3 linked regions of the Sus scrofa genome follow. The protein of the gene in region 1 interacts with the protein of each later gene in a pairwise test. Links are inferred from orthologs where the notes say so. Each region holds a gene or a part of one and is shown in the gene's direction. Other genes may lie near its edges.

Region 1 (3,649 bases):
AGGAACAAAAAGGATTCTAACCTAAAGATACCACCATAAGAGTTTCCTTGTGGTGCAACAGTTTAGGGATCCGACATTGTCACTGCAGTGACTCAGATCACTGCTGTGGCATGGGTTTGAACCTGACCTGGGAACTTCCGCATGTCGTGGGTGCAGCCAAAAAGTAAATTGGTTAAAGATACCACCATATAATAAATGTTCTTAATGACCCTTCATCATTGAGAAAAGCTAAATTATGTAGAATGTATCTTGTTTGATAATGAGAAATGCATGTGTATTTAAATGGCAGGTATATTTTAAAAGCTTTAAAATTTTAAAGTTTGTTTTAAGCAGGACCATTTAGTTATCAGAATAGTAACTTACTCGGAAAAGCCCGCTTACTAAGGAAACCAAACAAAGAGCTTTGGCTGTTGAGTCAGAATTACAGAGCTGAAAGAGACTGTAGAGATCATAACTCCAAATCTACTCCTTTTTTCAGATGAAAGTCTTCTGTTTAGAGATTAATGTTTGTTTCACTATAGAGAACCTACTTATTGAAATTAGAACTCATAGGTATCCTGGCTATTCATTCATTTTTCCTTCTTTTTTTTAGTTCATGTATACTAAACTTGGGAGTACTTGAAATTGAAATCTATGTATTATAAAGTGTTCTTTTTCATTTGTTGGTATGATGCACTAGTATTCAAGATTTGAAAGAGAGAATTAGACAACGTACCAACTTACCACTGGGGCCAAGTATCGATACTCATGGGGAGACTTTCCTATCTCAAGAAGTGGTGGTTAATCTTTTACAAGAAACCAAACAAGCCTTTGAAAGATGTCATAGGGTAAGAGTAATGGTAAAATTGTAACTGTAAATCAGTTTTATTTATATATAGTTGTGTATTTTAATTTTTGCCTTCTTTATACTAAGATGTAACTCTGCTCTCTGGTTAGGAACAATTATTTATTGTAATAAAATAAAATTTTTGTTTTGGAGAACAGAATTAGTTTTAACTTACTTAGAAGTATATTACAAGTTATAAAAAATGTATTATTTTAAAGTTGAGCAAATCAAATTTTCTTTTTTTGAGATATTAAATCAAGATATGAAGGGGGAGAGATTAGACCTATCTCATAAAGAAATAGAGCATTAGGGAGAAAAGGATGTTTTAAGAACACAGATATCAAAGGAGATGGAAAAATTGACTCCATTAAAATTTAGAGTTTCTTCGCCAAACACACTTTAACAAAGTAAACAGGTAAGTCACAGCCTACCAGAAGGTGTTTATAACCAATATTACTAGCAGAAGATTTTTGAGACAGATAATAGTGACTAATAATTATAGACCACATACTATGTTCCAGACACTCTTCTAAGCATTTTAGTATGTATTAACTCATTTAATCATTGTAGCAAACCTATGAGGTTGTTATTCTTATTTTACAGAGGAAAATACTGGGATGCATCCTTTTAAGTATGGAATTGAGAGTTGAGGCAGTCTTAATTTTTATATGTATTGATGTATATGGTGTATATATTTATATTGATGGATAATAAATCAATGTAGTTATACATATAATTAAATAGAAAACAAATCAAAGACTATACAAATGCAGAAAATGTAAATTATCAGAAGATAATCAGTCTATTAAGGAAATGAAACTTTTTTTTTTACTTTTTTTTTTTTTTAAGGGCCACACCCACAGCATATGGAGCTATAGCCACTGGCCTACTCTAAAGCCACAGCAAGGCCAGATCCGACCCACATCTGTGACCCACACCACAGCTCATGGCAATGCCAGATCCTTAACCCACTGAGTGAGGTCAGGGATTGAACCTGGGTCCTCATGGATAGTAGTCAGATTTTTGTTTTTGCTGAGCCATGATGGGAACTCTGGGTAATGAAACTTAAAATAGGAAAATACTATGTCATTCTCATTAGGTTGGCAAAAATTAAGAGGCCTGTTGATTCTAAGTATTGGTAAGGATTGACACAATAGAAATTCTCATACATTGCCGATGGAAGTAAAAATTGGCATGCTTTGGAGAGTAATTTGTTAATTCCTTAGAGAAACTCATAGGTGCACATGACATATCAAACATGGAAAGCAACGTTGTTTGTCATGGTGAAAAATTAGAAGCAAACTGTGCCTTATAGAGAATTGACAAACTGAAGTTGTTCATACAGTAGAAAACTATACACCAACATGTATCAGCATGAGTAAATTTCAAATGTTGAATGAGAAGATTAAGATGGGGAAAAGATATGTTCAGTATACCACAATATAAAGTTTTAAAAAGTAAAACAAGGAGTTTCCTTATAGTGTTAACTATCTGGCATTGTCACTGCAGTGGCCTGGGTCACTTTTGTGGTGTGGGTTTGACCCCTGGCCCAGAAACTTCCACATGCTGCTGGTGTGACCAAAAATAAAATAAAATAATAAAAGGTGAAACAGTGTGTTGTTTAGGGGTATACATGAGCATGGGTGTGATAAACAACTTCAGAGTAGTGGCATAGTAGGTTAAGGATCTGGTGTTGTCTCTACTATGGCTTGGTGCCATAGGTTTGGTCCCTAGCCTGGATGCTTTGGATGGGCCTGGAAAAAAAGACATGGGGAGAGTAATGAGATGGGAGGTTGAAATGTAGGCAACAACTCTTTGTATACCATACTTAGAAACTTGAACTTGACCTTATAGATGATGATGGAAGCTTAAAGGATATTAAAAAGATTAGGTTTTTTTCCTTTCTTTTTCAAAACTTAGTAACTTTGAGATACAGTTTGACAATCATTAAACTGCATATATTTAAACTATACAGTTTGATAACTTTGGTAAATTATGTGTACATTTGTGAAGCTATAAATGCACTCGAGATCAGATCTATCACCCCAAAAATTTCCTTTTGCCCTTTTAAAATCTTCCTGCCCCCTCCCACTGGGTCTGTCCTCAGGCAACTACTGATCTGTTCACTGTAGATTAATTTTGAAAAAGAAGGGGGATACTTCAGGACTGAGTATTCAAAGCTAAATAGGATGTTTACAAGAAATTGATTGTTTTTCTAGAATTTTTAATAAATGGGATTAAAATATCCATAATTTACACATGTGTTTCTAGATTCTTTAACTCAGCATTATTATTTTGAGATTCATTCATGTTGTGTGTATTAATTAGTATTTTTTTATTGCTGATTTCTACTTAATTTTGTGAATGTACCACAATTTGTGTATTCATTTACCTATTGATAGCAGTTTAGATTAGCTCTAGTGTTGTTACAAATGAAGTTGTTATGAACATTCATATATATATCTTTATGCAAACATACTGTCATTTCTCATGAGTAGCAATATGATGTCATATTATTATTCTTTTATGAAACTGCCAAACTGTTTTCCAAAGTTGTTTCATTTAACATTCCACCAGCAGTGTGTTAGAGTTCTGTTTGTTCCACATGATTTCCAGCATTTGGTATCATTAGTCTTTTTAGTTTTAGACAGTCCAATAGAGTGTGTAATGATACCTTATTATGGTTTTAGTTTGCATTTTCCTAGTGACTGAAGATGAGCATCTTTTCATACACTTATTCACTATCCATATATATTATCTGCGCTATTTTGTGTGCATTTTAAAAATAGGGTTGTTTTCTTATTTTTTGATAGTTGCATATCT
Region 2 (4,372 bases), on another chromosome or scaffold:
GAAGTAATATAAAGTGACTGGCTGACTAATTCACATGGGGTGGTCAGGAAGGACCTTCAAGCAGGTGACTTTAACTAAAATTGGAATGACAAGGATGGAACCAGCCAAGTAGAGATCAGAGAGAAGAGCGTGCAGAGGTCTTCAGCAGGAATGAATCTTCCCAGGCACTTGGCTTTTCCCTCCTCTTCCCCAGGTTCAGGGAGATTACTATGGAGACTTTGCTGCACGCCTAGGCTATTTCCCCAGTAGCGTTGTACGTGAAAACCAGACCCTGAAACCTGGCAAAATCGTTGTGAAGACAGATGTGAGTGTCCTGGAGGCTAACAGGGATCTGGACCCTTGGGTTGTGATGATGGGCAAAAGTGCAGCCTATCTATGAGCTGGGACAATTCCCTGCCTTTCCTTCCTTCCTTCCTCCCTCCCTCCCTCCCTCCCTCACTCCTTCCCTCCTTCCCTCTTTGCTTCCTTCCTTCCGAAGTTCCCTGGCCAGGGATCAAGCCCCCGCCAAAGCAGCCACCCAAGCTGCTGCAGTGACAACAACAGATCCTTAACCCACTGTGCCACAAATGAACTCCTCCCTGCCTTTTCTAATCTGTTAAATGGTGAGTGATGTCTAAGTCCTAGTCCAGTTAAGAGGTGCAAAGATTAGAGGGCCCTAGGCTAATTTGCATAGCACTTGGGTGGACAAACCTGGCGTCTACAGCTGCAACATTTGCTAAAACCATTAGATCCTTTGTGGTGTGACTGCTGTTTTCCCCCCACTGTTTCCCTTTTTTGTTTTTCAGAAATGGGATTTCTACTGCCAATAAGCTCAGTCTACTGCTGTCTCTGCAGTTGTTTCTCGCCGGCTTTATGCAAATACATCAGCCAAATGCCAACTATTGGGTCTCTGTGGTCTTTGTGGTAGGGACCTAGAAAGGAAATGTTTCTCCAGGTTTCTGAATCTAGCCAGTCAACCCACGGAATGTAGTAATGTCAGTGGTTGCTAGGCAGAGTTTCACGGACTAAAAGCTCTTAGCTCCAAGCTGGGTACCAGAGGTAGGCTCCTCAGCTTAGATATCACAGGCAAATAAGACGGAATAACCTAAACAGACAAATTAGGGAATTGTAGTGTCCTCTCTTGACCAGTAAGAGAACTAGTGAACTATTGGGAATGAGCCAATCGGGCAATGAGGAAGTAATCGCGGGGCATATGTTTTTTTGGAAGATTGTTGGTCAAAGGAGGTAGGAGTAAGAACCATCCCAGTTTTCATCCTTCTGCCTTTGAGATCAGTACTCCCAAGCTCGAGATCGGCACCTCTTCCAGGCTCTGTCAATCTTAACCCTGCCCCTTTCTTTGCATCCGTATCCCCGCCCCCAAGTCAGCTTCTACCCAATCTGGAATCTCAGGTCTGCTCCTGGTCTCCTGACCGAAGCCATTTCTCTGCTCCACGGAGCAACTCTGCACCACCCCTTCCCACTGACGCCGCCAATCGCTCGCCCTGGTCCCGCCCCTTTACGTCCCGCCTCTCTCGCCCCGCCATTCTGCGCCTTTTGTCCCGCCCCTTGCCCGCCGAATCCGCCAATCCCTGTCTTCGGGAAGCGTGGCCTGGTATCCCGCAGCCTTAGCGGGTCGCGCCGGAGGGGGGTGGAGGCGGAAGCGACGGCGCCGGCCCCGGGAGTAGGAAGGAGCCGGGGCTGCAGACCGAGTGGAGCGGCTGCCAACCGAGGACCAGGAGCGGCCGCGTCGCCATTTTGCGGCCCTAAGCGGCCGCGACCGAGTCATGGCTGAGACCTACGGTGAGGGTGGTGGGCGGAAGCGGGAGTCTGGGGTCTGGGCCCAGGGAGATGCGGCCTGTGGGTATGGGGCGGGGCTTTGTATTACCAGGGGGCGGGGTCTGGTTGTATGGGGCAGGGCCTAGTGGATGCTGGGAGGGGTTTAGTGAATCTGAGGCTGAGCTTAATAGGTTTGGGCGGAGCCTGAGCGTCTGGTGTGTGGGCGAAATAGACGTGGGGCGGGTTTGGGGAACCCAGTCGCGATAGATCGTGGAGGTCTTGAGGAAATGGGTGGGCCTTAATGTGTCGGGGCGGGGCCTGAGTGAATGGGGCGGGGCTGACTGAATAACAAGAATCAAGCTTGAAGGCCTGGAAGGACTGTGAAAGGATGTTCTGCGAGGTGTCTGGAATGTGGTTGGGGGTGAGCTGTCCTTGAGCTAGGGGGTGGGGCTAGTGGCAAGGGGTGGGACTTGAGAATAGGGGCCTTGGGCAGAGAACGGGAAGGAGATCCTGAGCGTTGGAAAATCCAGAAGGATGGGTAGGACGTGGGAGAACAGAATATGGTAGAGAGAACTCTGGTGTGGGAGTCAGAGGGAGCTGCATTCATTCAACAGAGAAAAGCAGAAGGAACAAGTCCTTGAGGTAAGAACCAGCTCGTCTCTTCAGGGAGTAGACTGAAGGCCAGTGGCAAGAGTGGAGTGAATGAATAAGAAAGTGATAGGAGATGAAATCATGGGGTGCAGCGAGGGGAGGCTGAGTCTGATAAAGTGGTTTTCAAGAGGCTTTAGCAGGAGTTCCCGCTGTGGCTCAGAGTGTTAAGATCCCGACTAATATCCATGAGGATGCTGGTTTGATCCCTGGCCTCACTCAGTAAGTTAAGGACCTGGTGTTGCCACAAGCTGTGGTGTAGGTTGCAGATGCAGCTCAAATCCCAGGTGGCTGTGGCTGTGGCTGTGGCTGTGGCCAGCAGCTGCAGCTCTGATTAGACCGCTAGCCTGGGGACTTCCATATGCTGCAGGTGTGTCCCTAAAAAGACAAAAAAGAAAAAAAAAAAAGGCTTAACAGTGTAATAGCTGAGATTTTGGACTCTGGAGCCAGTTGGCCCGGGTTCGAATCCTAGCTCTACCTTGCCAGCTCTACCTAGCAGTGGGATCTTGGGCAAGTCAGTAACCTTTCTGGCTTTAGATTCCTCATCTGGTTACAGGGGTGATTATTAGTACAACTTCCTCATAGAGTTTTGCCGAGGATTAAGTTGAGGTCTTGATGTAAGTAAAGACTTGTAGAAGGGTTCCTGGTATGCGGGAAGCACTGTGTAAGAATTATCTCTTACTGCTTTGTTACCCATTGTTCTATATCTGCCTGTGTCTGTTGCTCTCCCTGTAATTGTGATGCTCTCTTGGTTTCCATTTTTTCATGTCTATCTTTCTCTCCACATGGGTTTCCTTGAATTTGGCTCCATCCACTCAGACTTCCTCTTCAAATTCCTGGTGATTGGCAGTGCGGGTACTGGCAAGTCATGTCTCCTTCATCAGTTCATTGAGAATAAGTGTGAGTTCCTGGGGGTGGTCCTGGAACACTAAACTGCGGGCATGGGCACGGTGTGGGCAAAGTAGGCAGCTGTTGGGGTGGGTAGGTGGCAGGACTGGCCATAGGTGCAATGCCAGTGCTGGCTACCTGGTCCTCACCTTGGTGTATGTGCTTTGCTAGGCCCTCCTTGAGCCTCAGTCACCCCAGCAATGAGAGAGGATGGGTTCATAGGGGCTGGGGAGGTCTTGGAGGGCAGGGAATCCTCTGAGCCCCTGCACTGTCTCTTTTCTCCCTCCCACTCCCAGTCAAACAGGACTCCAACCACACAATCGGCGTGGAGTTTGGATCTCGGGTGGTCAACGTGGGTGGGAAGACTGTGAAGCTACAGATTTGGGACACAGCCGGCCAGGAGCGGTTTCGGTAGGTGGGCTGGGCTCCTTGGGAGAGATGGGAGGGGAGGGGAGGGAGAGAGGCGTGCAGAGCATGTGATAAGAGCAAGGACACACAGAGAGGGCAGGCAAGGTAGAGGGAGGGAGAAAGAGATGGTGAGGAGCAGGTACATGGGGTCAGAGAAAGAAGGGGTCTGGGAGAGAGGAAGGCAGAGACACAGAGAAAGATTGAGAAAGCAGCATAATGAATGAAGGGTGAGAGCGCTCGGGAGGGACACCTGACCCTGCGGAGACTATGAGGGGTAGACCCCTGCGGCTGGAGGAACGAACCTATCCCAGGGAACAAGGCCTGGAGAGAAGGAGGTGCTTGGGGTGGGGCGAGGGCTCGAGGTTGACAGGATGCCTAGAACAGAAAGGGAGACTTGAGAGAGAGCTACAGACACTCAGAAAGGGAGAGAGAGGCGTTCCCACTGTGGTGCAGCCTAAATTAGTCCGAGGATCCACGAGGATGTGGGTTCCATCCCTGGCCTTACTCAGTGGGTTAAGGATCTGGTGTTGCCGTAGCTGGAGGTTAGGTTGCGACTTCGGCTTGGATGTGATCCCTGACCAGGGGTCTCCCTATGCCGCGGGGTGGCCAAAAAACAGAAAAGAGAGGCTCAGCCAGAGGCGGGCAGCTAAGTGAGGGAAATGCCCAGCGGGAG
Region 3 (3,649 bases), on another chromosome or scaffold:
TATAATGGCCAGCCCTAGACAAAAATCAAGAAGCCTGCTGTATCAAGCAGTTCTACCACTTCCTCCCCAGCTTAGCCCAGTAGGTGCTGCTTAAAGGAGCCCTGAGGTGGTTGTTCTGTTGATGGGTTGATCTGGCTTCACCTGGGACAGTAGCTTTGAAAGCCACAGGGGACAAAGTCACTAAATTAGTCCAAGCCCCACCCCCTCAAAAGCAAGAGAGCAGGTTTGGTGACTGAGTGTAGAGAATAAAAGATGGGAAAAACTTTGGATATCAGCTGAGGAAATAGAAAGGAAGTGTTGATTGATGCAACTCCCTTCTTAGTAAACAGCGTTTGTTAAAAATTTTTGCATCTTTAACAAGTGCTTATTTTTTAAAAATATGAATTAAATCCCATACTTTCCTAGCAAAAATTAGAAGATAAATTAGTAAATCCAGAGTGAGTGATTTGATACTTTTTGTTCTCCTAATGGGGAAAGGTGGATTTTTTTTTTCTTCAGAAGAAAGATGTACAAATGAAAGAAGCCTCGTTCACTGTACTTTGGAATGAATAATTTTTTCAATTTATCTTTCCACTTTTTTAAAAGGAATTTAGAGCAAAGTCAAGAGAATGGGACAAGCAGGAGATATTATATCAGACTCATCTGGTTTCTGTAGATGCTCAACAAAAATTGTTATCTGAGAAGTGTAATCAATTTCAGGTACATTATCTAATACTATCCTCTAAATTAGAATAAATTAGAGGTTAAATACTATTATTCCTCTTTACCATTCTGCAGATAGAAATGCCAACTAAGGGAAAATAATGAGTAGTTCCAACACTGGGTAGAGTTTACAAGGGTGTGAAATGTCTGTAATGGTGACTTTAGTCTGTATGTCTCAGAAGATGGTTTTATTAAAAATGTCCATTGTTGGAATACCACTCAGCCATAAAAAGAATTAAATAATGCCATTCACAGCAACATGTGATGCAGCTAGTGATTATCATACTAAGTAAAGGAAGTCAGACGGAGAAAGACAAATACTACATGATATCACTTACATGAGGAATCTAAAATGTGACACAGATGAACCTATCCATGAAACAGAACCGGACTCACGGACAAAGAGAACAGACTTGTGGTTGCCACGGGAGGGGTTGGGGAAGGAATGGAGTAGGATATTGAGGTAGCAGATAGAAGCTATTATAAATGGAGGGGATAAACAGGTCCTACTGTACAGCTCAGAACTGTGTTCAGTGTACTATGATAAACCATAATGGAAAAGAATATTTAAAAAGAAATCACTTTGCTATACAGCAGAAATTAACACAACATTGTAAATCAATGATACTTCAATTCAAAAGTGTTCATTGTGGAGTTCCCATCATGGCTCAGTGGTAACAAACCTGAGTAGTATCCGTGAGGACACGGGTTTGATCCCTGACCTTACTCAGTGGGTGAAGGATCTGGTGTGGCTGTGGTGTAGGCTGGCAGCTATAGCTCTGACTCGACCCCTCACCTAGGAACCTCCATGTACTGCGGGTCAGCCCTAAAAAGACCAAAAAAAAAAAAAAGGTCCATTGTTATTATGTCATTAAATAACATGTTTTTGCATGCCTATGATCAAGTCTCTTAGAAAGTCTTAAATTTGCTTGGTCCCTGCCCCCTAGAAGCTTAGTCTAGACACAGACATAACACATGTACAGGTTTACAGATAATTAATGACAAGTGAAAGGAAAGGATCCAAATCCTTTTAGAGGTGGAAGGAGTGAGAAAAATTTGGATTTAGGAAACATCCTCCAGCAGGGGTGGGACTAGGCCAGGATCTTGAAGGAAGGATATGTTCTAAGAGAGAACGTATTCCAGGTGGTGGAAATAACGTTAGCAAAGCTGCTGAGGCAAGAGAGCAAGTGCAAATTCGGGCAATGGAAAGTGGGCCAATCAGATTTTTAATAAATATTGGCAGATGACTTCCTAAAAGAAGTTAGTAATTTAGTTTCTCAACAGCCAGCAAAACTACCCAGACTCTCACCAGAAGATCAGTCCTTTGATTTTTACCAACCTGATGGACCAAGAGTAATGTTGGCTTGATTCGCTTTGTGTTTCTCTGACTGCTTGTGATGTTGAGCATCTCTTCATGTGTTTCTAGACTTTTTCATTTTCTCTTCTGTGAATTGCCTGTGCATAAATATTGTCCACTTTTCTCTTGCGTTGTCTTTTTCTTAGAAGTTTTTGTGTACCAGAAGTTACCCTTGTTACAGGTGTTGACAACTTTTTCCTACAGTCCATCGTGTTTTCTTGTTTGTTATTTTATTTATTTATTTTTTTGGCCATAGAGACATTTTCAACTATTGTGTAATAGAATCCATATTTTCCCCCCTTTTTAAATATCTTCTCTATTTTCTTTTTCGCTAAATAAGAATTCCCTACCCAAAGTCCTCTACCCTACTCTACATATTTGCTCTGAGTTTATGCAAATATATATTCTCTTTATGCCCTCTGAAATTGAAGTTTTAGAATAAACACAAGACTGAATTATGAAGAACAGTTTCATTAATAATATAAATGTTTTTTCCTAATTCTTCTCTATCATTCTTGAACTTTATGTAAGCTTAAGTGTTGTATTCCCCACTCAACTGACACAATTTTCATATTTCTCAGAAACAGGCACAAAGTTACCAAACTCAACTAAATGGTAAAAAACAGGGCATGGAAGACAGCAGCTCTGAAATTCCTCAGTTGCTATGTGAACCAGATCACAGTTGTGAAACCACTGAAAGAGATGAGTTCATTATTGAAAAATTAAAATCAGCTGTGAGTGAAATAGCATTAAGCAGGAATAAGCTACAAGATGAAAATCAGAAGCTCTTACAAGAACTGAAAATGTACCAAAGACAGTGCCAGGTAAAAGATTTATTTTTATTTTTAATTGATAACTGCCCATGAGTTGTATAAATGATGACCCAACAGGTATATGGAATAGAAAGCTAATTTTTTATTACATGTATAATTTTTTTTTTTTTGGTCTTTTCTAGGGCTGCACCTGCGGCATAGGGAGGTGCCCAGGCTAGGGATGTAATTGAAGCTGTTAGCGGCCGGCCTGTGCCAGAGCCACAGCAACGCCAGATCCGAGCCACGTCTGCAACCTACACCACAACTCGCAGTGAAGCCAGATCCTTAACCCACTGAGCAAGGCCAGGGATTGAACCTGCAACCTTATGGTTCCTGGTAGGATTCGTTAACCCCTGAGCCACGATGGGAACTCCTACATGTATAAATTCAGCTTATCTTTTCTCTTACCAAGTAGCTCTCATTTGATGAGTAAACTTAGTAATCCTGTGGGTACTTTACTCCAACAGGTGCACTTGTGTTCTGCAGTGGTGTAATAGTATCTTGCCAGTGCAGTGTAACAGTGGTCGCTCACAGACCTCTAGTCCTAAAAAACCTAGCCCTTTAGCCACACAGCACCCTGTGTCCCCATCATTCATTCTCTTTGACCCTGTGCCTCTTGGACTCAGGAATCCTAGGATGAAGATCCAGGAAATCATTTAAGGTTCGACAATCTGATAACCTCAGTGGGGACCAGGGGAGGCATTCCCTGTGATATATCAGCTTTAACCTTTTCATAGTCAGTTACCAAATGGTAGGTTGGAGTTTTGGGTTTTTTCAG

Evidence for each region.
Region 2: the proteins of EXOC5 (region 1) and RAB4B interact in binary tests that used the Homo sapiens proteins (3 or more experiments, as listed by UniProt). The two-hybrid records come from large-scale screens. The link is inferred for Sus scrofa from reciprocal best matches to the Homo sapiens genes EXOC5 and RAB4B.
Region 3: the proteins of EXOC5 (region 1) and DEUP1 interact in binary tests that used the Homo sapiens proteins (3 or more experiments, as listed by UniProt). The two-hybrid records come from large-scale screens. The link is inferred for Sus scrofa from reciprocal best matches to the Homo sapiens genes EXOC5 and DEUP1.

Annotation. Positions count from the first base shown.
Region 1 is NC_010443.5:186,399,064-186,402,712, reverse strand, and holds part of EXOC5 (exocyst complex component 5), read left to right. Parts: intron 1-679; coding exon 680-827; intron 828-3,649. UniProt on the Homo sapiens protein: Component of the exocyst complex involved in the docking of exocytic vesicles with fusion sites on the plasma membrane.
Region 2 is NC_010448.4:48,987,558-48,991,929, forward strand, and holds the start of RAB4B (ras-related protein Rab-4B), read left to right. Parts: upstream 1-1,522; 5' UTR 1,523-1,763; coding exon 1,764-1,779; intron 1,780-3,222; coding exon 3,223-3,303; exon of another isoform or gene 3,304-3,587; coding exon 3,588-3,702; intron 3,703-4,372. Other genes in the region: MIA (melanoma-derived growth regulatory protein), read left to right, coding at 194-379. UniProt on the Homo sapiens protein: The small GTPases Rab are key regulators of intracellular membrane trafficking, from the formation of transport vesicles to their fusion with membranes.
Region 3 is NC_010451.4:25,831,308-25,834,956, forward strand, and holds part of DEUP1 (deuterosome assembly protein 1), read left to right. Parts: intron 1-585; coding exon 586-699; intron 700-2,640; coding exon 2,641-2,883; intron 2,884-3,649. UniProt on the Homo sapiens protein: Key structural component of the deuterosome, a structure that promotes de novo centriole amplification in multiciliated cells.